Rattus norvegicus: one gene and its partners. The protein of the gene in region 7 interacts with the protein of the main gene of each other region in a pairwise test. Links are inferred from orthologs where the notes say so. Each region holds a gene or a part of one and is shown on either strand. Other genes may lie near its edges.

What was found.
Region 1: the proteins of Sorbs3 (region 7) and Sh2d4a interact in binary tests that used the Homo sapiens proteins (3 or more experiments, as listed by UniProt). The two-hybrid records come from large-scale screens. The link is inferred for Rattus norvegicus from reciprocal best matches to the Homo sapiens genes SORBS3 and SH2D4A.
Region 2: the proteins of Sorbs3 (region 7) and Kiaa0408L interact in binary tests that used the Homo sapiens proteins (3 or more experiments, as listed by UniProt). The two-hybrid records come from large-scale screens. The link is inferred for Rattus norvegicus from reciprocal best matches to the Homo sapiens genes SORBS3 and KIAA0408.
Region 3: the proteins of Sorbs3 (region 7) and Socs7 interact in binary tests that used the Homo sapiens proteins (3 or more experiments, as listed by UniProt). The link is inferred for Rattus norvegicus from reciprocal best matches to the Homo sapiens genes SORBS3 and SOCS7.
Region 4: the proteins of Sorbs3 (region 7) and Pak2 interact in binary tests that used the Homo sapiens proteins (3 or more experiments, as listed by UniProt). The two-hybrid records come from large-scale screens. The link is inferred for Rattus norvegicus from reciprocal best matches to the Homo sapiens genes SORBS3 and PAK2.
Region 5: the proteins of Sorbs3 (region 7) and Tbc1d22b interact in binary tests that used the Homo sapiens proteins (3 or more experiments, as listed by UniProt). The link is inferred for Rattus norvegicus from reciprocal best matches to the Homo sapiens genes SORBS3 and TBC1D22B.
Region 6: the proteins of Sorbs3 (region 7) and Cpne2 interact in binary tests that used the Homo sapiens proteins (3 or more experiments, as listed by UniProt). The two-hybrid records come from large-scale screens. The link is inferred for Rattus norvegicus from reciprocal best matches to the Homo sapiens genes SORBS3 and CPNE2.

What each region holds. Positions count from the first base shown.
Region 1 is NC_086034.1:26,173,175-26,177,174, forward strand, and holds the start of Sh2d4a (SH2 domain-containing protein 4A), read right to left. Parts: upstream 2,801-4,000; 5' UTR 2,759-2,800; intron 2,572-2,758; exon of another isoform or gene 2,481-2,571; intron 1-2,480. UniProt on the Homo sapiens protein: Inhibits estrogen-induced cell proliferation by competing with PLCG for binding to ESR1, blocking the effect of estrogen on PLCG and repressing estrogen-induced proliferation. May play a role in T-cell development and function.
Region 2 is NC_086019.1:30,456,111-30,460,410, forward strand, and holds the start of Kiaa0408L (uncharacterized protein KIAA0408 homolog), read right to left. Parts: upstream 2,801-4,300; 5' UTR 2,604-2,800; intron 2,585-2,603; exon of another isoform or gene 2,127-2,584; intron 1-2,126.
Region 3 is NC_086028.1:82,858,612-82,862,111, reverse strand, and holds part of Socs7 (suppressor of cytokine signaling 7), read right to left. Parts: intron 1,468-3,500; coding exon 1,363-1,467; intron 909-1,362; coding exon 807-908; intron 1-806. UniProt on the Homo sapiens protein: Substrate-recognition component of a cullin-5-RING E3 ubiquitin-protein ligase complex (ECS complex, also named CRL5 complex), which mediates the ubiquitination and subsequent proteasomal degradation of target proteins, such as DAB1 and IRS1.
Region 4 is NC_086029.1:82,247,435-82,250,934, reverse strand, and holds part of Pak2 (serine/threonine-protein kinase PAK 2), read right to left. Parts: intron 2,408-3,500; coding exon 2,260-2,407; intron 1,360-2,259; coding exon 1,328-1,359; intron 337-1,327; coding exon 229-336; intron 1-228. UniProt on the Homo sapiens protein: Serine/threonine protein kinase that plays a role in a variety of different signaling pathways including cytoskeleton regulation, cell motility, cell cycle progression, apoptosis or proliferation.
Region 5 is NC_086038.1:7,672,826-7,675,067, reverse strand, and holds part of Tbc1d22b (TBC1 domain family member 22B), read right to left. Parts: intron 338-2,242; coding exon 209-337; 3' UTR 1-208. UniProt on the Homo sapiens protein: May act as a GTPase-activating protein for Rab family protein(s).
Region 6 is NC_086037.1:10,474,984-10,479,177, reverse strand, and holds the start of Cpne2 (copine-2), read left to right. Parts: upstream 1-1,394; 5' UTR 1,395-1,571; intron 1,572-4,194.
Region 7 is NC_086033.1:51,684,473-51,687,972, reverse strand, and holds part of Sorbs3 (vinexin), read left to right. Parts: intron 1-2,492; coding exon 2,493-2,637; intron 2,638-2,868; coding exon 2,869-2,986; intron 2,987-3,500. UniProt on the Homo sapiens protein: Vinexin alpha isoform promotes up-regulation of actin stress fiber formation. Vinexin beta isoform plays a role in cell spreading and enhances the activation of JNK/SAPK in response to EGF stimulation by using its third SH3 domain.

The DNA of each region.
Region 1 (4,000 bases), on a different chromosome or scaffold from region 7:
TTCTTGAAGGATCAGAGAGAACTGAAAATTAACTCCCTCAAAGAGCCAAGGGCACATTCCTCCAGGAATGATTTGGCTCCAGGCGCTCTCTGATAACAGAACGGACACTTAACTGTTTCCTGCACTACCATAAGCACTCAGCAAGAGTTAAGTCCCTCACTCCTTCCACTGTAGTGCCAAGAGGAACTGAGGAAGACAGTGAGGGGGAAGCACAGCAGTTACTGTATCCACTGCACAGACTGGCTGCTACAAGTTTACTCCTGAGTCCAGAATCAGGAAGTGATTGGTGCCACTTTGAAATTTTCCGGACAAAGATCAGAAAATGTCCTTGGGAAGAGAACTTTAAAACTGGAGATACCTCAGCTAGTGCGGAAGCCTACGGTAATCAAGTGTAGATAAGCTTAGAGAGGCCACAGAAGAAAATACACCATCCAGGAAGGAGCACAGAGTTGCTACCCGCATTGGTCCAGTGGTGACTTTGTCTTCCTCTTACTCTCCACTTGCCTTGTTCCACCAACATTCCCTTCCCTGGTACTCCAGTAAAGAGGTGCGCAACTCTCTTCTTTGTTCTGCTTTGCTTCGGGTAGCTTGTGTAACATAGACTTCAAGCATCAAGGTTGGTTGGCATGTTTTGTTTTGTGGTCTGAGGATTAAACCTGACCCTTGCACATGCCAAGCAAATTCTCCGCTGCTGAGCTGCACCCCCAGCCCCCTTTACTTTATGTTTTGAGATGGAGTCTAAATTGTCCAGGCCAGTTTTTAATATAACCTAGCCTAAACAGGCTTTTGACTTTCCACACTGGCTGTCTTTATTTCTCAAATAATTGGGATTATATAGACCCTAACCACCAGGGCCAGTTTAATCCCTTTTGAAGAAAATACCGTGGTTCCTGGTGGCCTCAGGGAATACAAAAGAAACCCAGCTAACAAGTGCCTGTGGCTGTTGACTATGGGCACCGAACTGGACTGCTGATTGGCTCTGAGTGATGTCAGTTAACCAGCTCTCCAAGGCTTTCCTAGAGCAGACCACAGCACAGCTACAGACAGGTTCACCAGCTTAGATTCCCGGTTCTGCCTCCAGTGACCCATGACTTTGGAAGGTCACTTCACATCTTTAGACCCTGTTTCTTAATCCATAAAACTAACCTGAGGATCATTGTAGCTCTTGGATCCTGAGATAAAATCTGCCTTGAAGCTATTGAGACAAGTACAGGAAATGAAAAGGAGGAAGTGAACCTGCCAGGGGTTTTCCTACTTTCACGTTACCGGACAATCACTGTTTGGTGATGTGTGGGTCTCATACTGAGTGCAGTCACTCGTGGTCCAACACAGAGTACAGCCCAGTTAACTTGTTTTTCCTCTCCTGTGGCATTTTTCTTGAAAAAGACAACTAGCAGGGAACAAGCCCATACCTGTCACTCACTCTAAAAATTTCTGAAGAGTCCAAAATTTAGTTAAGTTCTCAGGATACCTGTAGATCTTGTCTGACTTTCACACTTTCCACTTTTCCTCACAATTGTTTTTAATTAATACAGAGCCTAATAAATAATAACAATAATGATAATAATTAAACTCTGGGTACAACTACCTTCATTAAAATATTTCTGTATTTACAGTACATATATCCCTAAAGGTAAGAACTTAGTTTGCGTTCTCTGTTGTCAGGCTTTGAATTGCTCAATATTTTTCTTATTAATTTACATGATGATTTTGGAAACAAAATGAATTGCAAGTGGTGAGAGGAGCTGGAAGTTTTGTAAATACTCTCAAGATTGAAGTATTTCATAGATAGATATTCCTAGAAAAGCCTATTTGTGCTAAATCTTCGCCTAAGTATTTCTTCCACTTATTATTAAATAAGAAAAATTATAAATACATTGTTTCTTTACACAAGCAAGAGGCTGTCATCCCTGCTTCTCTGGGACCATAGCAAAGAGAGACATTGAGAAAACCTATAAACACTGAGTGCCTCCACCTAGGGCCCATGAACCCCTTAAGGCAGGAACGGTTGGTAATGGCTCACTTTTGTTGAGGAAAATTCTGGCTAGGCTGATTCTAGATTGAGCCTTGACCCAGAACCACAGAGAGACGACGAGCCCGCTGCTCTCTGTACCACGTGAGGGCGCCCGCGGGAGCGCGGGGAACTTACTAATGGAGTTCTGCTTGTGCTGAAACCGGTTTCAGGACTCTTGTCTGGAAGGTCTCCGGGCCAGGAGACCACATGGCACTGCCCAGTGATTGGACCTCCGCTGATTTGTGGGTACTGTAGCCGACACCCAGCACCCTCTTCGTGGCTCAGACCCTCGCAGGTGGCCCCCGCTGTGCACCTGCCCCAGGCCAGTTAGCACTCGCCGCGTGTGCATGCACAGCCCGGACGGGACAACTTTCCTGAAAGACTCCAAGTCGCCTCCGATTCTCCTCCCTCTGGAGACTCTTAGTATAATGATCACAAGCCCTCTGTTCTTGGGGCCGCCACTCACCTGGACCCGGCTGCAGACACTGGACACCCTACACGAGACATCGGACACCCGCAGCCGTTGTGGTCTGTTCCTCTGGGCACCTGAGCTCGCCCTGAGCGCCGTGGAGGAGGGACCGGAGGGACAGGTGAGCAGCCTGGCCGCGGGAACCAGGGTCTCTTCCTCTCCCTGTCCTCTGTGCTTCACCCTTCGCTCTAGAGACGCATCTCCTGGTTCCCACTCCTCGCTCACCCTTCTGCCTGGCTCTATGCTCCAGCGTTTTACCCGACCCGGTCACCTACCTGCTCAGGACCCGGGGCAAGGTGGTCCAAGCACCCGCCGCCACCTCCAGATTGCCTACAGCAACTCCAGGAAGAGAAGGGAGGACAAGCAGAGAGACCCAGCCGCGCAGAGACCCAGCCGCGCGGGCTGTCTGGACAAACACTCGGGCCCAGAAGGACACTCGGCGTCCAGATCACAGCCCTGGCCCGCCCCGCCGCGCCCACATGCTGGGGTGACTGACTGGGCGCTCCCTCAAGGCCCCTCCCGGGTGCTGGAGGCGCTCCAGGGCCAGTAGGCAAGGCTTGGCTGCCTTGGTCCAGTGACAGCAAGGCCACTAGTCCTTGGCTAATCTAGAGTGCTGTCTACAGTCTGGGGTAGTTTGCCCTGACACCTCAGGGGGGGTCTGTGGGACTTACTAATTACAATTGTCCACACTTGACTTGTTAGGTGGAGCCTGCAATGGCAGGCAGGCAGGGTCCATCTGGGAACCTGGGTCCTGCAGCCAAGTTGGCTGCAGTTCTGTGACTGCGTTTCTACAGCTTACTTTTTCCTTCTCTTTTGTTGACATTAAGTAAATTATCAAACTCTGAAGCATTTGTTACTCCAGGTGTGGCTTAAGGCATGTTCAAGGAAGAGAAAGACTGGAATGTTGCAGGCTCTAGGGAAAGGGGCAGCCAGGGAGAGAAACCTGAGGGGAAAAAAGGTAGAAGTTCCCTGTGATCAGGACCAGGGTGGCACAGGGCACTGCTGAAGCCTAAGCTTATCTGGGAGGGGAGAAAGCTGAACAGAGTGGAAAAGTGGAACAGCCTTTTCCACAGGCGAGGAACCTTGGGCATGTGTGGAAGAAAACAGGGCTGGGGGTGTGTATGAGTGGGGGTGGGGAGGGATGACACAGGAGTTCAGACTGGGGAGATTGGAGAGCACTGTTATAAACAAGAAACATGGTGTGACTTTATACACCCTATCCAATCGATTTAGGAGCCTGACGTGCTGAACCCAAACGTTGTTTACCGTAGGCTTTCGCAACCACAGAAAACTTTTTAAAATTAGACATTTTATTTATTTACATTTAAAATACTATCTTCCTTCCTGGTTTCCCCTCTGCAAATCCCCTATTGCATGCCCCCTTACCCTGCTTCTATGAAGGTGTTCCCCTACCCACCTACCCACCTACCCACTCCAGCCTCACCACCCTAGCATTCCTCTACACTGGGGCATTGAGCCTTCACAGGCTCCTATTGATGCCAGATAAGGCCCCTTCA
Region 2 (4,300 bases), on a different chromosome or scaffold from region 7:
CTTTCCTAGGATCTCAGCCTTGTCATCAACACACACGTAAATGCCCACAGTAACAAACACAGTTGCACTGCCCTCTATAAACAAAACACGTGGGGAGGGGGCGTAAAACATTCTGAAGAGTGAGAAGCGAGTGAAAGAATGCATAACAAGAATCTAAACGCTACTGTATCATAAGGATTTTTTTAAGGTTCATTTTATTTATGAGTGTTCTACCTGCATATGTGCCTGCATGCCAGAAGAGGGCATTATATGCAAATCGCATTAGAGATGGTTGTGAGCCACCATGTGGCTGCTGGGAATTGAACTCAGCAGCCAGTGCTGTTAACCATGGAGCCATCTCTCCAGGACCACAAATTCTTGCTAAGTTCTGATTTCTCCCCCTTGCCATTCATCTTCCCTGTTTCCCTTCATTCTTTCCTTCTCTCTTCTCTGTGTAAACAACTTTTTTTTTCCTAAAGTAAAACTGATCATTTCAAACTTTACCTCACTGAAAGCAAATCTCAAAGATTAACTATTAAATATTCGCTTTGACTTTGTCTGGCCTTGGTATTTTTCTGTTTTCTTAAAGACATATGCCAAGTTAAGTATAGTGCAAAACAATTTGTCCCTAGTAAAAAGCTGGGTAAATATTTAAAACTGTTTTTTGTTATCATTCTAAATTAGGTCTTGAGGATGTCAGGCTAAATGATCAATTTTGTGAGGACAGAATGTTCTATGATGAGAAATTTTAAGGCCAAGTGGATCAGCCATTCAAAAGCCTGGTTTTAGAGCTCTCCACTGAAGCCAGTATAAAAGCTCTTCTTGTTCTTAGCTGTCAGTCTTTCCCTCCCACAGAATTCTGGCATCTCTGTGGGAGAGAAGAAAGGATTTCTACATTGTACATCCCCTTCCCCATAGCTCCTTGCTGTTTCATTTCAGCATTCCCAAACTTCATTCAGAAGAAAAGTTTATTGGAGGAAACTTAGAGAAGTAGCCACATTTGTTTGTTACACAAATGCCCCACCCCTAGCAACACTAAGCTGGCATCCCATAGTTCCCTTTAATTTACTTCTCCCTAAAGCCAAAAAACAGGATGGTAAAGGGTTGAGAGTGGGTTGTGCACGTGCTGTAATAGGAAGCCAAGTGGTTTAGCTGATGGGTCAGTTTTGCCAGGGAGCAAAATTTAAGAACAACAAAGCGGGTCTCATGAAGTATACATGACAAAATACAAACTTTGATTTTAAACAACTTTTGGGTTGGGGAAACAAAGCTATAAACGTAATGCTGAGCACAGGATCACTGCTGCAGCTTCAGCCCCTAGACCTACCAGTCTGGCCATGGTCAGCCAAGGCATGCTCAGTGCTTTCTACATCATGGTTACGATCATTTCAAACTCCGTCTTGCCTGCTGAAACTGGATTTTAGCCACGCCAACTAAGGAATGTCAGGAGGGCTGATCCTACTGCTGTTTCTGTCTTAGGAGAATTCCGCTTGGAGTACTTGTTTTGTGCCCATTGTTTTCTTTTATTACTTTCTGAGCATATTGTGTTTTTTTTTTTAATATTCCAAGTCCTTTATACACTTGAGGATGCAGACTCCAGAAGGAATATCAGAAACAGCAAATACTGCCAACCTCACAATTCCTAGAAGAAATCATTTGGCCTGATGATAAGTTGCTCCCAATGAATTTTGTGGGATTAGGAAGTCCCATGCCTTGAAAAAAATACTGTGTCACTTGTCTTCAAAATTCCTTCCCTCACTTTCCAGGTTATTATCCACCACTGGGACCATTTTAGGCAGTTAAGGAATCCTCTGTCTCCCGTGTTGTGCGTCAGCAAATGCATCTATCCAGAGACTCCCCATTTGATTTTATTAGAAGATTAAAGTTAAAAAAGAATCACTTCTCTTTCTGCCTGCTCCTCATTTTCAGGCAAGGTCAAAGAAATGCAGCACAAAGAACTCCGAAGAAGTCAACCTTGTTTTCTCATTGGGTCACCATCTTTATTTTTGGTTCTCCAACTATTTACTCATGGTCTCAATTTAAGCTACAGGCACATCAGTTTTAGTTCCCTTAACCGATAAGATACAAGCTTTGATGAAAAACATCTTTTAGCTTGGGGGAAGCAAGGATCTAAAAGTAATAATAACCTTGAGCAAAGGAGCTTCTGCGATTTCTTGAAGACACCAGTGCTTCTGAGCTCACATTATAGAGAAAAAAAATACGTCTCCTGGAGTGGAATAGCAGTCTGGAATAAAACTACATTTTTTTAAAAATTACAAATTTGAAATAACAGTGAACTTACGTCTTGTAAATTTTACATCGCAGATATTAAAAATAAATTCACCACAGATTGCATTCTAATAGAAACTTACAGTGAGCAAAGTTTTTCTGAACTACTGAGAATGAGCAAGAACAGTCTCAAAGAGAAGATGCTGCTGTTGTCCAGGCTTTAGAAATCCACCCTCAGCAGCTGAACAGCCTCTTCTCCAAGTCAGGAACCCGTTACATACCTTGCCCACTGTTCTGAGACCGAGACACAAGCATAGTCAGCACAGGAGATGCCGAAACCACACTTACTTCTGCATCCTTAATCTAAGGCGCAAGTTTACCAGGAAGAAACATACCTCCTCGCACTTGGGGGTCGTCCTGCAGCAAGTCAGGCTCTGCGTGACCAGTCTAGCAATGGAAGAGGCGGGGCAGAGAGCTAGTTGTCTTAAAGAGCAGTGATTCTTTTACAAAACAAAGTCCATCCATTTCCCACAGCAGTCCTGACAAACCCCTTTGCAAACTGCACCCTCAGAGGACTTCTGAGCTCAGTGTCACAACAGCAGCTGGGCTACTGTGACGTCAGGGACTTGGAGGCGGCCTTAAAGCCGCTGCTTCCAACCAGAGCTCTGTAACTTTAGAGCAGTTCTCCCTCTGGGTAAACAACTCCAGGTCCAGGACATTTTTAACTTTTATAATGGAGCCCAGCATTTTCAAACTTGCCAAGAGAGAGCTGCTTATTAGCTGCACATGATGATAATGGCCATATTTAAGTTTCTCTTATTTGGAAAGTAGACTCACTTTTAGGAGCAAGAACTATCCTCTTCCCCCATCCCCTCTCCTTCCCTCTTTCCCTTCAGTGAGATGCAGTTTCAGTGCCTTTTTAAGTCTTGCCAGGGATGAAATAGAAATGTCTATCTATCATGTAGAATGAGAAAAAATATGAAATACACACACACACACACCAGCAAGCATAAGTCCAAAAGTGTGTTGGAACATATTGAATGTCTGCCTTTATATAGACTAGAAATGGGACATATATAAAGAGCACGTGCTTGTGAGTGCATGTGTGTGAGTGTGCGTGTGAGAGTGTGTATGTGAGTGTGTGTATGAGTGTGTCTGTGTGTGTTGAGTGTGGGTGTTGGGGGGAAGCACATATCAGGCATCTGATAGTTTACTTTAGTCAATAAAGTCTCTGGGGCTAATATAGCAAATAAGCTACACTGGGTTTTAAGTAATAAGCTCTTATCTTCAAGTTGAGCTTTTCCACCTGTACAGTATTATATATAATATGTTATTTATGCATGCCATAATTTGATGGGGTTTTTTGTTTTTTTTTTTTTTTGGTTTGGTTGGTTTTTTTTTGTTTGTTTGTTTGTTTGTTTGTTTGTTTTTGCCTACCTCCAGGCACCATCTCATAAGTAGCTAAATTGCTTAATAATGGTAAACTGGTCATGGTAGAAGTATATTTATTTATTTATTTAAGAACTGATTAATTAATTAACATATAAAGTTTTACTTTGCAGAACAGGCTTGCCTGAAACTCACTATTGCATCCCAGACTGGTCTCGACTTAGTATAATCCTGCTTCAGCCTTCCTAGCCCTGGAATTGTGATTGTGAGCCACCAAGTTCAGCCTCTTTACTTCCACAGAAGGACGTTATACATGCAGAATAACTGAAAGAAATGCTTCTCTGTGTTTAGAGAGCCAGGCTTCAAAATTCCAACAGCAGCAGCAACAACCATCACAGTGACAGCAGCAACACTAGTTGTTCACTGCAAGCGGCTTGAAGCAAAGCTCCGTGCTGAGGTCGGACATCAAGTGGAGCTTTCTGTTAGTCACTCCCTTAGCAACTGTCGCTGCAGTGTCTATTACCCTGATCTTACTTATGTCCATGGCTCAGACAGCTAAAGCACCCTGGGCAACGCCCACAGAAAGGTCTCTGACAGGGGGAGTAAAAATCAGCTTGGGGATCCTGGAATTTTGTCACAGGGACCTAGGGTTCCATTCTTCTGCCCTCGTTTAACTGTGTGAGCCTGTGCCTCTGTTTCTTCC
Region 3 (3,500 bases), on a different chromosome or scaffold from region 7:
TCCAACCCATAGACAGACTTCCCTTCCCCAAAAAAGATGCTAACTGAGGAGGGGCAAGGCATTAGAAGCTGAGCTGAGAGGGTGGGAGCCAAAGCAGTGGAAGGGAGCTGGATGGGCTGGAACAAAAGGCTGTGCGAGCTGTGTGAGCTGTGAAGGATGGGGGGGCATTCAACCCCAGGAAAGCAGTAGAGGAGCTGCTCACTAACCTGACTAAGGTGACTACTTCAGGGGCTTCACCGGCCTAGAGCGATCCCAACTTCTCCCACCTCGAAGTGAAGTGAAGTGCCGGGAAAGCGGCCTTGGAAATAGTGACTTGCTTACTTGCCCCTCCAGGGAGAGTAATGATTTGCCAGGCAAGTAGAAAACAATGCTGATTTCATTCACTATATTCCCTGGATACTAGAGGCTGGCAAAGCAGGTGTGAGCTACTAAATGCTTGGTACTTATTTACAAGGCTGCAGTAAATACCAAAAGCTTAGGAAAAAACTACACAACTTTGATAACCAGCAACAGAGTAAACCTCTTCGCTGAACTGACATCACAGCAATTTCTTAAGTGGTATTTCCTCAGGGAACTGCAAAGCAGCCCCAGAAGCAGGAACCAGAAATCCCAGGTTTTCACTTCTAAGAAAAGTAAGATTTACTTCCAAAAGGAAACAGGTTAGGAAAAAAAAGTTCTCAGACTCATTTTCAAGTTCTAATCCAACCAAGGGGATAGATTGAGGCTTTCTCCTAAGTTGTAATTTCCATAAGTAGCCTTCTCCCGTCCTTCCACTCTTACAAATCTTGGCTCTAAGCTAAGCTAACCTGGGGCGTGGGGTGGAGGAGGCGGAGGTAGGGGGAAAGACTGCAAGGAAGACCCCATCGGAGCCACAAGGACAGATGTAGGCAGCGTCCCACTGATATCATCTACAAGAGAGAACAAAAGCAAGAGGTTCAGCAAAATAAGCACATAACAGTGGGGAGAAGGCGGAGGAGGAGAGGACTTCAGGCTGCCCTCTGGGGCAAGGTAGCCTGGACGTCATGCTATCTCTAAGTACGGGCAAGGCATCCTCATCAGCCTTGCTTTGCCTAGAAAGCAGGAGAGTGAGGGTACTCCTAAAGCAGCTCAGGAGCAAGACTGAGGGCTCGGTGCATGTGAAGCCACTCAGCACATGGACAGTCAATATTGCTTCATGCAAATAAAGATGCCCGCCCATCTAAGTCCCTACAGAAACGACAGAGGTTTGGAGAGAGGAATGGGAACTAATTGGGTCATCAATAGAAACCCATAACCTTATCTGGCCCCTGACCAAAGAGCAAGTCCCTAGAGCTCACCCTCCCTACAGGGCAAGATGGCAAAAGGGTGGGTTAGAGACTATACCTAGGAGGCTGAGGCTTCTTCTTGGAGGAGGAGGGGGAGTTGGAGGGTGTGGAGAGGTCAGGCCCCGCTGAGATATGTCCACGTCCACAAGCGACACTGTCTCACCTGAGGGATTCACACAGCAAGCATGTTACAGAAGCATAGTGTCCAAAGCTGAGGCCAAAAGGAAGGGGAACAAAAGCAAGCAGGGAGGCAGAGGGCAGAGAGTCCTAAGCAAGGGAGGCCAGAGCAGAGGGCCCTAAGCTCTCCAGGCTGGAGTCACCTGGACACCAAGTGTCTTAGAATCTGGTTGTTGCTGGGTTACGGTGCACACACCTTCAATCCCAGTACTCGGGAGGCAGAGACAGGCGGATCTCTGTGAGTTCAAAACAGCCAGCTTGGTCTATGGGTAGAGTTCCAGGACAGCCAGGGCAACAAAAAGACAGGATTTGTCTCAAAACAAACAAAGAACAAACTGTTCGGCTGTTCCGGGTTAGTGAGGGACTCAGAGGTCAGGAGCCTTGCTACTACTGGAGCAGACCCACATCTGTTTGCCCACAGCCACAGAGGCTCATAACCACTCTGAACTCCAGTTCTAGGGCATTCAGCGCTCTCTTCCAGCCTCTGCAGGCACCAGGCACGCACACAGTATATACATGTAGGCAAAACAACTCATCTACATAAAGAAAAATAGGGATGGTAGGATGGCTCAGTAGAAAAAGGAACATTTTTAACAAACCTGATAATCTAAATTCTAGTCCTGTTTGGTGGAAAAAAGAACTGACTCTTTTTTTTTTTTTGTTTGTTTTTTTGGTTCTTTTTTTTCGGAGCTGGGGACCGAACCCAGGGCCTTGCGCTTCCTAGGCAAGCGCTCTACCACTGAGCTAAATCCCCAGCCCCAAGAACTGACTCTTGATAAATGTCCTCTGATCTCCAAATGCATGATGTGACACACATTCAATAAACAAAATGTAAATAAAGAGGCACAAAATAATAATTTAAAAATTTTAATCGTTTTATTGCAGGGTTGGAGAGCTAGCTCAGGGGTTAAAATCACTGCGACCGCTCTTCCAGAGAACCCAGATTTGGTTCTCAGCACTCACACAACAGCTCACACCCACCCACAATTCCAATTCCTGGGTGTCTGATGGCCTCTTGTAACCTCCACAGACACCAGGCTATACATAAAACGGTACACAGATAAACATGTAGACAAAGTACCATACACAAAAAGTTTTTAAAAATAAAAGTCCTGGGGTTGGGGATTTAGCTCAGTGGTAGAGCGCTTGCCTAGGAAGCGCAAGGCCCTGGGTTCGGTCCCCAGCTCCGAAAAAAAAAAAAAAAAAAAAAAGAAAAATAAAAGTCCTATCTTTTCTTTACCATATTAAGGGTTGAGTTTTCCTTAGGAGAAAAGCATTAGTTAGCTTGTCAGAGAGAAAGCTATTCATTGCTCTCTCTGCTGCTGACTTATCTTGATTAGGGTCTCTAACTCTGAAAAGGAATTTGTTTTTAATCAAATAAAACCATACTTGAGGTTGGGGATTTAGCTCAGTGGTAGAGCGCTTGCCTAGCAAGTGAAAGGCCCTGGGTTCGGTCCTCGGCTCTGGGGAAAAAAAACAAAAAAACAAAAACAAAAACAAAACAAAAACGAAAAAACAAAACAAAACAAAAAACAAACCCATACTTTGCAGACTTTCATGTCAGTGTGGAGCAAGGCAAGTGGTTCTCGTTCTGCCACATGGACAGGACAAATGCAAGGCCAGATCATGTTAACAGTTGGGGGAGGGGCAGGGAAGTGGCTCGTCATACAAAGTGCTTGCCTCCAAACCAGAAGACCCAAGTTCAACTCCTACAACTGTCTTCTGGCTTCCTCACATGTGTGCTGTGAAATTCACATACACATGCGCATGCATTAAATGTTAAAAAGAAAGAACTGCTGGGTAGCATGTTAGTATATTCCTTTAAACCCAACAATCAGGGGCTAGAGACGGGAGGGGTTCAAGGCCAGCCTCTGCTACACATATTGAAGCCTGCTTGAACCTTAAACAAAACTCAAATCACCTGCAGAAGTTCTAGGACGCACGCCAGGGACTGCTGTCAGCCTCACTGCCTTATGGTGAGTCTGTTAGAAAAGTCTAGGATATCACTTACAGATGCTA
Region 4 (3,500 bases), on a different chromosome or scaffold from region 7:
GCACCATATGGGTCCCAGGAATTGGATTCGAGCAGTCAGCTTGGTGGCGAGCACCTTTACCTGCTGGGTCGTTTCATCAGCTCCAAAACACAGGTTCTGAAAGACAACTCGGTCTCTCACAGTACAGTATTTTAAGCTTGAAGCCTTTCTAATGTTTTGACTGCAGGTCAAACATAGATCAATGTGTTCAAAAGTCAAACAGTTACAGATCATCAGTCTGTCACTCACTGATTTTGTATGATCTGGCCGAGGGGCAATGACGGGAGGAGCAGCATCTTCATCGTCATCGTCTTCCTCTGTCACCACAGCTGATGTCTCTGACCCCTTGGTGTTCAGCTGCGTTCACCATAGCAGCAAACGGAGGATAAACCAATAACATCAAAGGTTAAAATGCGACTCCCCTATAAAAAGTCTTACAAGCTTATTTCTTCAATAGCTAGTATATAAAAACTACAGAACTTCACTGGTTCCAATATAACCAGTTAAAAAGGAAATAAACATATACGGTTGAGTATCACTTTAGTGGGGAGGGGACTCAGCTAAGGACTGGTCCTGAGGCTTGTGTATGGTGTGACTGCTCACCTTCTGAGCTACCTTCAGAGCTCCCAAGTGCGGCAGGCACTATTCCTGCCCTTCACATAAGCACACGTGGTGCTCTGTTAATAAGCACTCCTCTTCTGAGGACCAAACTGAAGGCTCTCTGGATCTGTAGACATTTGAGTGCTTTAAAAGATCCAGATTCACCAGTTAACAAAGCAAGAAAGGGAGCTGACAAAGGTTTTTACCTATTTAGAATGCGACACAGTTTACCACACCCAGAATGGTACTGGTAGGAGGTCTGGGGAGGAGAGACTATGCCATCTAGTTCACCATATTCAGGTTCAAAATGGCAACAATGGAAAAGTAGTTAATTTGCTCTGTAAGCCATTATGAAGATTAGTTGCTTTAAACTGTCCGACAGGAAAATCCTATTTACTTAATATAGTTTCTTCAATTAATCAAATGGCTAACTTTAAAAAAGAAAAAAAAAAGAAAGAAAAAGTAACTAAAAAGGTATTTATCTGATAGTTAATTTTATTTTACTCTTGGTTTGTTTTTTTTTTTTTGGAGATACAGTTTTGCTAGTCACTCAGTCGTGCAAATTCACAGTGATTTCAAGACTGTGGCCTCTTGAGAGCTGGGGTTGGAGACATGCCTACCACATCTAACTGTTTACATTTATTCATATTCTTTTCAGTCCCCTGTCCTTATATATTTACCAAGCAAAGTAAAAATAGACTTGTTCTAGGCAACCCAAATTAGAAACTATAATAAATTATTAACTTACTGCTGGTGTTCCAGAAGGAAAGCCATCTTTCTCTGAATGTGAAACAGAAAAGATATTAACAATTTGAGAAAGAGAACTGGGAAATGACAAAAAAAAAAAAAAAAAAAAAAAAAGCAAGCAGACAGGGCTTTGCTATGCAGTCGTGGCTGGCCTGGTATTTGCTGTACAGTCTCTGATAGTTGTTTCTCCTCCCCACCCCATCTCTATTTTAGATTTTATTTATTGCATGTATAGGGTTAAGCGTATCCTTGGCTGGTGTGGAGCTCGAAATGTAGACCAGCATGGTTTTGAACTCAGAAATCTGCCTAGCTCAGCCTCCTAAGTGATGGGACTGAGGGTGTTTTACAAAACACCAGATGAACAGAAAGGCATTTTCACATCAAAGCTGCCATTTATGCACAGTAGTCACTTCCACTCTACCGCACTCACAGCACCACCTCCGGCATGAACCTGTCTGTGTATTGAGAAGCTTTGCCTCCGCCCTCCGTTGCTGGCAGTCATCTAAAAGCATCAAACGGGGCTGAGAGACGGCTCAGCGGCTAAGAGCACTGACTGCTCTTCCAGAGGTCCTGAGTTCAATTCCCAGCACCCACATGGTGGCTCACAACCATCTGTAATGGGATCCGATGCCCTCTTCTGGTGTGTCTGAAGACAGGATACTTATATATAATAAATAATTTAAAAAAAAAAAAAAAAGAGCATCAAAGAGAAAAAGATTAAATAAGCAAAGAGCCCAAACATCCCCAACTCTATTTCTGGCAAAACGATGAGGTTAACTGATCTGCAGACATGCTCTGGGCCTACCTCATCACCCTCGAAAAGGGAGATTTGTGCGGGAGAGAGGGAGCGACAGCGGCTGTACTCCATCTTTCACCCGGGAGGGCTTCGGCTCTCCCACCTGGTCCAGCCTCTTACCACGGTCTGGGTCTTACCAGGAGGAGTGAAGCTCAGGTACTTCTGCTTCACAGTGTTGGAGTCGTAGAACTTCAAGACATCCAGCACAGCCTGCGGGTTCTTCTTCTGCTCCAGTTTGGTAATGTTGGAGGTCTGCAACAGCCGTGCCCACTGCTCTGGCATGCCCTAACCAAAAGAAATCCACAAATCAGTTACGGTTTAATGCTCTAATGAAAAACATTTCACAGGCCAACGACAACACCCAGGCAGTCGTGTTACGGAAGGCTCTGAGCTGCTGTGTGGGTGCTGGGAGCTGAACCAGGTCTCCTGCAAGAACAGCCAGTGCTCCGAACCTGAGCCCTCTACAGCCCTACTCACTTATTTTTGACACAGAGTTTTAACTATATAGCCCAGCCTGGCCTGGAACTCAAAATATTTTAAATTCCAGTTGCCTTAGTTGCCCACAGTTGCCTTAGTATTGGGATTAAAATGTACAGTGGTTTTATTCTGTTTTTTGAGACAGGGTTTCTCTGTGTAACCTCAGCCGTCCTAGGATTCACTTACTCTGTAGACCATGCTGGCCTCAAATTCAGAGATCAACCTACCTCAAATGCTGGGATTAAAAGTGTATGCCACCATGTCTGGCAAAAAGTCTAGGTTTTTTTAAAAGGACTATGTGGTCAACTGACAGGCTCTAGTGTGGTCCTCCAGTACCTTCCAAATTTTGTTTGAGATAGGATCTTCTACTGGCCTAAAATGCTACCAAATAGGTTGGGAGCGTGGAATCACGCAACAGCATTTGGCTTTTTTTTTTTTTTTTTTTTTTTTGGTTCTTTTTTTCGGAGCTGGGGACCGAACCCAGGGCCTTGCGCTTCCTAGGTAAGCGCTCTACCACTGAGCTAAATCCCCAGCCCCAGCATTTGGCTTTTTATGAGTTTTAAGGAAAGATCTGAATTCAGATCTTTTCATACTTGCAAGATAAGCATTTTGCCAACTGAGCCATCATCCTATCCCTAAAAGTTCATTTCTCTGTGTCTTAGTCATGGTTTTACTGCTGTGAACAGACACCATGACCAATGCAGCTCTTATAAGGACAACATTTAATTGGGGCTGGCTTACAGGTTCAGAGGTTCAGTCCATTATCATCAAGGTGGGAACATGGCAGTGTCCAGACAGGTATGGAGCAGGGGGAGCTGAGAGTTCTATGTCTTCATCTGAGGACTGCTAGCGGAACACACTGACTTCCAAGCAGCTACAATGAGGGTCTTAAAGCCCACAC
Region 5 (2,242 bases), on a different chromosome or scaffold from region 7:
AGTGGTCCCAGATAGACATCCCGAGACAAAGTGACGGATGCTGGGAAGTTAAGACCTGGGTGGTGGTGGTGGTGGTGGCTGCGGTGGGGGGGCGAGCTTTGTACAGCAGGAGTGGTTCCTGGCCGGGGTCCACGGCTTGCACGGTGGCCACAGTGATGAAATTGCCATCAGAGATGGGGGCAGTCTGGGTCCCCAGGAGAGACAGCACCTATCGGCGGTAGTGGTTGGGGGCGTCCGCAAACATGTACTTGAGTCTGTAGGCCTCAGCCAGCAGCAGCCCGATCTCCTCGTTGCCCCAGTGGATCGTAGGCAGGTTCTGCAGCAGCATGAGGAGGCCCTGCAAGGCAAGGAAGGCCTTTCATCCCTGCAGTCTGTGGCTGGGGAGGTACCTCCTCCAGGACCATGCAAGCCCCGAAGTCCAGCCTTCGGCCTCCTAAGAATCATGTAGCCCTGGGCCCCTTGTTTAGTTCAGGAAGTCTGAAACCCTCACAGAGAGATCTCTGAGACACTAACTCGGCCTCTTCACATGCTGGGAGCCGAGGATGAAGACGGTACAGAGAGGAAGTCACCACCTGCTTCCGGCCGCCCAGGCCCGCTCTTGCAGCACTGTCATTCTGTCCCTATGTCTGCTTCTCAGCTGTACTTTGTTGTTTTGTTTCCTTATATTTCTTTCTTTCATTCATTCATTCATTCATTCATTCATTTTGCTTTTTCAGAGTTGGGATATTTGTTCTTATCTTTTTAATTGTAAAAAGATTCATCCTGGGGGCTGGAGAGATGACTCAGGGGTTAGGGGCACTGACTGCTCTTCCAGAGGTCCTGAGTTCAAATCCCAGCAACCACATGGTGGCTCACAACCATCTGTAATGGGATCTGATGCCCTCTTCTCGTGTGTCTGAAGACAGCTACAGTGGACTCACATTCACAAAAAGATCTGTCCTGGGGCTAGCGGGAGAGCTCAGCTGGTAAAGTGCTCCGGTGAGGAGCAGGAGTCCCAGGACTGCAGGAGTTGGAGACAGGATAATTCCTGGGCCTTGCTGGCCAACCAGCCTCACCGATATGGTGAACCCCTTCTCAGTGGAAGAGCCTGCCTCAAGAGACAAGGTGGGCTGGAGACGTGCTCAGAGACCCTGGCTACTCTCCCAGATCTGGGTTCCAGTCCACTACCCACAGAAGGAGAGGCTTAAAACCATACAACTCCAGTTCCTGGGATCCAACGCCCTCTCCTGGCCTCCAACAGGTTCCAGGCACACACGTGGTGCAAGACAGACATGCAGGCAAAACACTCATACACATAACATAATAAATTTTTAAAGAGTAAAGCCAGGGGTTGGGGATTTAGCTCAGTGGTAGAGCGCTTGCCTAGGAAGCGCAAGGCCCTGGGTTCGGTCCCCAGCTCCGAAAAAAAGAAAAAGAAAAAAAAAAAAAAAGAAAGAAAAAAAAAAGAAAAAAGAGTAAAGCCAAGTGTGGTAGTGCATGCCTTTAATCCCTTCCCGCCCCCAGGTGGATCTCTGTGAGTTCAAGGTCAGCCTGGTCTACAGAGGGAGTTCCAGGCCAGCCAAGCCTTCATGAAGAGACACCCACCACGCTGTAACCTTCTTTGGCTTTGCTTGTTCTCCGTGGGATGTGTGCTTGTGCGTAGACTGTGGAGGTCAGAGGGCACCCTTCAGGACTAGGTTCTCTCCTTCTACCATGTGGACACCGGAGTTTGAACTCAGGCTGTCAGGCTTACCTTTACCTGCTGCTCTCTTCCACACCCCTTCTTACTGGAAAATTCTAGTATTTCTATAATGATTCTATGCTTTTGTGCAACCTGTAAACAAAACCAACCAACAAGAGTGGCCCAGCTCGAAAGTAGGACACATTTTCTGCGATGGGAGCCATTCTGACCTCTAACTCTAGCTTTAGTAGATGCTTTCCAGGCACTTCTGAATAAATTCTATCCCTAGTCTAGCACCCCTTCCTTTTCCCTCCTCTCTCATGGAAAGAGTATTGGCTGTGAAGAGCCGCTCTGCCACCTGGTGGCAGAGACTGGAACTGCAGCTCTCCACCCCTGCCGGTTCCCTGTCTGAAAAAGTGGGAACCAGTCTTCAGATAAAGATGCAGAAACGGAATGACCATGGCCAAGGGGCAGAGGCGCTAGTCACAAGTCAGGTGTGCTTAGCCAGGGGGATGGAGAGACACTGCCAGAATGACACTGAAGATTGTCTACAAAACGGTTCCTAAAGCAGAGTTCGGAGTC
Region 6 (4,194 bases), on a different chromosome or scaffold from region 7:
GCACGAATATACGTCTTCATTTCTCTTGGGTAGGTACCAGGAATGGAATTGCTGTGACACCTGATCTTAGTACTCCGCCCTCCCCATCAGGACCTAGCAACATCTTTCCCTGGACCCTCTAAACGCTTTAATTCTGGGTTCTTAGAAGAGTGCTGGTCAGGTCCCATGGCTGAGTTGGGTCTCTATGCTAATTGCCTTTCATCCTGAACTTATTCATCTACTTGTCTACCTGGCATTGCTCCCCAGTCTGGAAAAGACTATGCGGTCCCCATTTTCTACCTCCGCTCTAAGAGGAGCCACAGGTTGCTTTGTCCCAGAGCTGAGCAGAGGGCATGGAGGACTTTCTGTGCAAGAAGACCGAGGAGAATCTAGAGAAAGGCAGAAAGCTCCGGGGACAGGCAGGCAGAGAGAACAAAGCTCTGTGCCCTGGGGCTGCTTAGTGGGGGCCCTTCTAAGGCTGCAAAGTGCCAGTGACTCAGACGTGGGGGGGAGCGCGTAGCTACTGCAAGAGTCTCACGCATTAACCCTTATCTGTCTGGAATAGAAAACCTACAACCCAAGCGCAAGGCTTTACTGCTCAGTCCCACAATTCCCCCAGTCCGTGCACACCAGGGCCCAGGGCTTTAACTATGCTTATAAGATCTCTGGACAGCCAACCTCCAACCCACTCCCAACAGTATCTCGTTAAAAGAGCTTCGGCCCTGATGTCCAGTGGTTAACTCGATCGGAGGGTACAAAATACCACTGAGTGACCACCAGCTGCCCAGCGACAAAATAAGCCCTTAAGAACTGGTGCCTCTTCTGGGTCAAAAACGGGATGCACAGAGTGGGAGGCCTCAGCTCCGCAGAACTGCTCTCCCGTTGATCCCAAACCCCACTCTGAACGGCTTTAGCTCATCGTCTTTGTCACGGGAATATGTGTCATCTTCCCTGTCTCAGGCGACAAGAAAACGCTATTGAAAGAAATAAAAAATATATTTTTAATAGTACAATAAGAGGAAGAAAACACTGCGGTTCTTGTGCCGCTCCAACAGCCGGAAGCAAGTACTGGGCGTCTCCCCGAGGGCTCAGTGCCCAGCCCTGCCCGCTTTGGGGCGAAAGCCACGGGCGGCGCCTCGGGGTCTAGCGGGCCAGGAGATCGCACCCCTGGGTCCTCGCGTCTACAGCCGGAGCACAACGCACAGAGCTCGGCGGTGCCTGACGCCCAGAGCGGCGGGCCAGGTGCTGGGTGCGAATCCACGGCGTCGCACAGAGTGGCAGCCTGCTGTGTCCAGGTCCTCGCGGGCCACCAGCCGGGAGTCGGACAGGCTCCCGCGCAGCCCGGAGAGCCGCCCCTCCAGGAAGCGCCCGCCTCGCTCCCGCTTCCCGCCCACATCCTCCCTCGACTGGAGGGAGGAGCCGGTGCTGCAGCCGCGGCCCGAGGAGGGCCAGCCCCAGCCCGGGCGAGCGCAGGAGTGGGTACGGCCGCGCGGGTAGCGCCCTGTCCCTGTCCCGCGTCGCCGCCCGACCGACAGCACAGCGCGCGGGGATGCCCCGGCGACCCGGAGCACGCTGAGGCTTGGGGAAGCGCGGTGAGTGGGGTCCGCGGCGACGGTGGGCCGGGCACTGAGCGCGCCCAAGTTCGGCCTGGGGCTTCGAGGGGAGCGGGTTCTGAGGGAGGGACTCCAACGTCCCTGGCCACCGCCCCCCGCAGCACGCCCCGGAGGACTCAGCTCCTACCCGGCCACGCGGGGGCGCCCGTCTGCGGGGGGCTGCTGGATGGGCAGCTTCGGGGACACCGGCTAGCTATTTGGGAGACCCTCTTCCACCGTTAGGTGTCTGGAGGGCCACCGAGAGCTGGCGACCGCAGCCGTCAGCACAATTGCTTGGAGGAGAGTGCGCCCTTTGACCCCACCCTGACCCGGACCTGGCCCTGCTTGGTATCAGCCCTAGGGTCGACTCCCTGCTCCAATGTGGGAGAAGAGATGGGGAAGAGTGCTGAGCGGCTTTCCAGAAGTCGGAGTGTGTTTGCAAACTAGTTTTTGCGCAAAAGCTGTCTGGCACCTGTGTGTTTCAAGGGGTGGAGGAGGAAGTGAGAAGCCCTTTTTTCCCATCCCTGTAAGCGATGCTCCTGGGAAAAATAAAGGAGACTAATGCTCCTCTTTCCTTCTCTTCCCCTCTCCTCCCGAATCCTGTCTTTGGTACAGATGGCTAGTCTTTGGATAAGAGGCTACCTCAAAAGGAGGCTGAGAGTGCCCAAGGTCACAGGTGCAATAGCAACCGGGAGCTCGGGAGCTCGGTGGCCATTCAAAGGGTCTGCCTTGTACTCTGATTCTTCCTGCCCTATAAGTATTCTGGGGGAAGGGGAAAGGGAAAGGCCTTTGAGGATTAGCCCAGATGCCCTTTGCTTTGTCTGACCATAGACCTCCATCATGTAGGGGTGTGGAGCTGTCACTCCGAGATGGGAAGGGGTATTATACTGCCCCTCTCAGAGACGGGAGAGAGTATTAATATTGTCCCTGGAGGCATCTACAGCTTCTGTGGTTGGAGGCCTTGTTACCAGGCAGACTTTCTGCTGAGAAGTTCCTACTCCAGGGTTAGAGTCCTGCCTTCCTACCTGTGGACAGTCCCTCCTTCTGCCTTTTAAACAGCCAAAGTCTTCCAGAATATAGCTCCCTCACCACGGGCTTAGAAGGGACTTGGTGTGTCGAAGTGGGAGGAGCTGGTCATCCAGCCATCTTGGTAGGGAAGCTGCTGTCCAGGAGAGACAATATAAGGTCCCTAATGGATGCTCGAGGATTGAGTCAGGGTCAGAGGTGCCACCTAGCTCCTAGTCCTATGTTCTTTGGCCTCTGGTCCCCTGGCTGCAACTTCTCTTTTGAGGTCAAAAACACTGCTTTTTGAATTGGATGAGAGCCCTTCTCCCGCAGGAAGGGAGGCATTTTGGTTGGGTTGTCATTTCTAATGGCCTATGGACAGCTCCAAGATGGGAGTCATGAGAGACCTGGCCTTGAACACCTTTCTGTGACCAGAAGTAGTATGGTGGCCTCAACTTTGCATTTCCGGTTTCTATAAAGTGGGATGGTCTCCAGGGCCTCCTGGAAACTGACCAGACACAAACACTAAAGCACGAGTTTATTGCACCCTGGCAGGGGGCCCAGTGAACTCCTGGGCTGTCCTTAGGTGGTGATGAGCCCTTGGAGTGGGAGAGTTCATCAGATGCATTTCTACACATGCACACACATGCGCGCGCACACACACACACACACACACACACACACACACACACACACACACACACCCTTTGGCTCTGGGTGTTTTTCCATTTGTGAAATGAAGGCAGACTGCGATGGCAGCCCATTTGCAGAGCCGTGGGGAGGCCAGGACACAGGACAGGTATTCTTACAAGTGGGGAACTCTTCATGAGGGTCTGTGATTGCCTTTCAAGCCCTCCCCCAATGCTGTGAGCATTAAAAATCCGAGGGGACCACGTGAAGAAGAGGACCAAAATGGAGCCTCGGTTTATCTGTATCATAGTGAGGTGTGCACTCTCTGTCCCCTTCTCGTTCTAGGTAATTGTGTGTTTCCTTAAAGGTAGTTGTGAGGATCCGTTTAGATGACAAAGGGCTTGTGTGTCAGCACTGTGACTGGTGCGGGCGGCATTTGGGAACAGCTGTCATCCCATTGTTCCTGGGAATATTAGTACACTTGATTCGCATGACTGCATTCAACATTCCTTCTGGGATATTTTTCTTTTTTCCTCTTCTTCTTCTTTTTTTTTTTTTTTTTTTTTTGGCCCTTGAGAGATGAGTCCTGGAATCTGGATATTGGTACTTCTGAGCTGTTCTAGGGCCAGAGGGGCCTGGGTAGGAAGGTTTGTTCTACGGTGCATCCTGTGTAGGTGACCATCGCCCCGACCTGGAGCTGACTTCACTGGGCTCTGAGGCTTGCATAGAAGACAAAAAGCACTCTCTAGTAATTGTGTTCCTGTCAGGGGGCAGGGTTTCTTTACCTGCTGGGACTTCCTAAATGTTCCTTCCATCCCGTCTTCTGCCCTTGCCGAGACCTGCCAGACAGGCCGGGGCTGCAGAAGTGGGTGCAGAACACCTCTAGAAGCACTGGGCTTCAGAGAGGTCCGTGTGGTCTCTGTAAAAGCATGAGGTACCATCTAGGTAGGGCAAGCTGGTGATGGTGACCATCCAATCATGGTCCACC
Region 7 (3,500 bases):
AGAGAGAGACGTCCCCACCATCCAGACCTCAATCTAGGATGGGAAGGAGTCCACCAAACCTATATGAACTCCATTCTTCCAGCCCTTTGGAGAGGGCTGCTTGAGTGCAGGAGCTGCTGAATTCTGGGAACTCACCAGAGGTGTCCGGACACCTTCTGTTTTATGCTAGACAGATACCTATTCCCCAGGAGGCCTCTGTCTTCCTTAGGTTCTGCCTAATGTCTCCAGGCAGCCTGCTGGGAGAAAAACCAGGACCATCACTGGGCCCTATCCTACCCTTGTGTATTCCCCTTTTCATGTCACTCAATGGGAGGGGAGCAGATTGAGGTATCCCAGGGTCAATAGCTCCTGAAACCAAGTGGGGATGGGGGATTGAATCTTTCTCCCTCTGAGAGGACACTTCTGGATTTGACAGGAGGGTGGGACACAGTCACATTAGGGAAGGAAGGCCTGTCAGCTGATGGGTACAACTGCTGATGCTGAGGGTAACTTGGCCTCAAGCCAGCAGTGGAGCAGGGAGGGGTAGCTCTAGAGCCAGTGTGCCCGGGGCTTCCTTGGTCATCAGTCTGCCCGGCCTCACTTTCCCTTGGAGGAAGTCCAAGAGTCAGGAAACTGGGGTGTGTTCACATGGTTGTTTTTTTTGGTAAGAGCTCTAATTGGATCCAGCTGGTGGGCTGCACCTCAACCTCCCCTCCCCACAAAGTCAGGGATTGGCTGGGTCCCAAATAGGCTGCTCAGATGTCAGAAGGAATCCTCACAAAAGCAGACCAAAGAGGGTGCCTGCTGCCCCTAGCCTCCTTGGATTCCTTGTCAATGCCCGAGCAGGAACTGAGCCCAGAAGACAGGTACTGCCGGCTCTGCTGTACTGTCATACACAGTACGGTCCCACAGCTCCTGGGCTGCTCATATGACTGCACGCTGCACACACCCCTGCTGACATTCTTTTCACTTTACCTCCCATGCTCCTCACATGATTCACCACACACACACACACACACACACACACACACACACACACACACACACACACACACACACAGAGGCATATTGACAGCACTGAATATATTCTACCTCTGCCACACACAGGACACCTCCTGGGGTATCTGGTGTCCTTTCTTTGAACCTCCACAAACCCCACAGACACATACAAGCCTGATTTGGCCCAGTCCAAAAGGTGGTATAAGGGATTTTTGTTTGTTTTGTTTTTGTTTTTTGAAACAAGGTTTCTGGCTATCCTGGAACTCACTTTTTTTTTTTAAAAAATTGTTTATTCGTTTATATAATGAGTACACTATTGCTATCTTCAGACACACCAGAAGAGGGCATCAGATCCCATTACAGATGGTTGCGATCCACCATGTGGTTACTGGGAATTGAACTCAGGACCTTGGGAGGAACAGTCAGTGCTCCTAACCGCTGAGCCATTTCTCCAACCCCCAAGGTGGTGAAAGTTTATTCCACTAACACCCATTCAGCCAGGAAAATGAAGAGGTGCAGATCCTATATCATAGTTCTCTAGGCACTAAGTCCCCTTTGTGCCCCCGAACCATGAACTCTCTGTCCTCTAGCACCTACCTGTGTGTGTCCCCTTTTGCTCACCCATCTCCCCAGTGCCCTGAGCTCCCTTCTGCTGACCCTTGAGTGAAGCAGAACCTACTGGCTTGTCAGGCATGATGCCCTCAGTCAGGAAGGACCCTCCTTTCAAAGCCAAGCCTGTGGATACAGGAGTGTTCATCCGTTTAGGAGAGAAACTTCCAGAACTCAGCACCACCCCCAGGGCAGAAGCAAGTCCTTTTTGTTGTCATCTGCTGCTTTGCTTTCTAACCACCCAGCACTAGCTCTGAGCGTTCTGGAGCTGTGATCTGCACAGGAGGCCAGCGAGCAGCACACATTCCCTAGATCTCAGAAGTGGCTCCCTGCCTGGCAATGCTCTCCCATGTTCTTCTTGGCCCTAGTAGGGATGAGGGCAGTGCTGGCTGCTTCCCAGTGGTCAGCAGGTTCGTGGCCTTGATGTTGACTGCCCTTGTGCCTGTGAGCATGCAGATGCTACCAAGGCATGAGCATGTCAGAAGAATGGAAACAAAGTCCTGTGCTCAGGTCCTCTCTGCTAGCTGCCCTAGTTCTCCTGTGCCTTCCTTCTAGGGGAGCTGGCTATCCTGGCACAGAGAGTCCCAGAGGGGTGGTCAGAGGGCTGCAGGCCTGCTCCTGGCCAGCTTCCCTATCTTCCTTCTTGCCTGGCTTCCCCTCCCCCACTTCCACCCAGCGCTCCTGCCCCAGGCCTAACAAGCAGTCCATTGTGCCTCTGGGAGTCGGCACTGGCAGCCTGCAGGCGGGTGCCCAGAGTTGCCTGTTTCCTGGGTCCTTGAGCTCCCACCCAGCTGGCCATAATTCCCTCCCACAACCTACCTTCCTCCCCCACCAGTGGGTTGAGTCAAGAGGTCCCAGGCAGTCCAGCCCAGCCAGGCTTTCCCTTCCTTCCTCCTTCTCTGCAGAGTACACACGAAGGAGCAGCTGGCACATCCTGTGTCCTCCAACCTTGACCCAAGCATGCAAGGCCTCCCTGCTGGGCTCAGCCTGGATGATTTCATCCCTGGCCACCTCCGGGCCCATATAGGTGCATCTTCCCGGGGGACAAGGGTGAGTGAACAGCAAGGAAAAAGGAACGCTGATGGGCCAGCAGTTGATGGGGACACTAGTGGGCCAGGTGGGGGGAGCAGTGGACCGGCAGTCTGAAGGAAGCTCCAGAGAACCTCCATGGCTTCCCCAGGAGGCCAGACTCAGGCTATGCTCAGGCTGCCATTCCTTCCCAGTGGAACTCCAGTGGAACCTCTGGGCCCTGAGCTTGCTGCTCCTGGCCCCTTCCCACAGGTGCCTGTGATCCGGAATGGTGGCTCCAACACCCTTAATTTCCAGTTTCATGACCCTGCACCCAGGACTGTGTGCAACGGCTGTCCCCCGCCCAGGAGAGATGGTTCCCAGCATCCAGGTGGGTCTGCTTGGGAAGATCTGCTCTAAGAACCTTACGCAGGGATGGGGCAAGTTTCCTGTGCCATATGGAAGGGAATGGATCTTTGAAGGCCACGAGAAGGTCCCCAGGGAACTGTGGAATCAGCTTAGGGTACTCTGTGATTATGCAAATCTTGAGAAAGGAACCTTGAAGAGAACAGGCTGACACAGCATTTCCCTCCCTCTTGACAAGGGAAGGACATAGTCTTAGGGGTCAAGGGAACTGTAACAGGGCCCGAGATTCAAGTGGGAGGGTGAGAAGTCTCAGCTTAAGAATGGACAGGGACTGCCTGCCCCCCTCTATGCCCCCTCCCCTCCACATACACACCCAGGATTATCATCCAATCCAAAAGGACAGCTTAAGAGTCTGCCGTCTGGGCCCTAAGGTCTCTGAGCTCCTGGGGACTCCTCAGTACAATCCAGTACTTTGAGAAATGGTGTCCTTTACTGAGCATTCATTCCCCTGAGTCAGACATTGTGCAGAGGACCTCAGT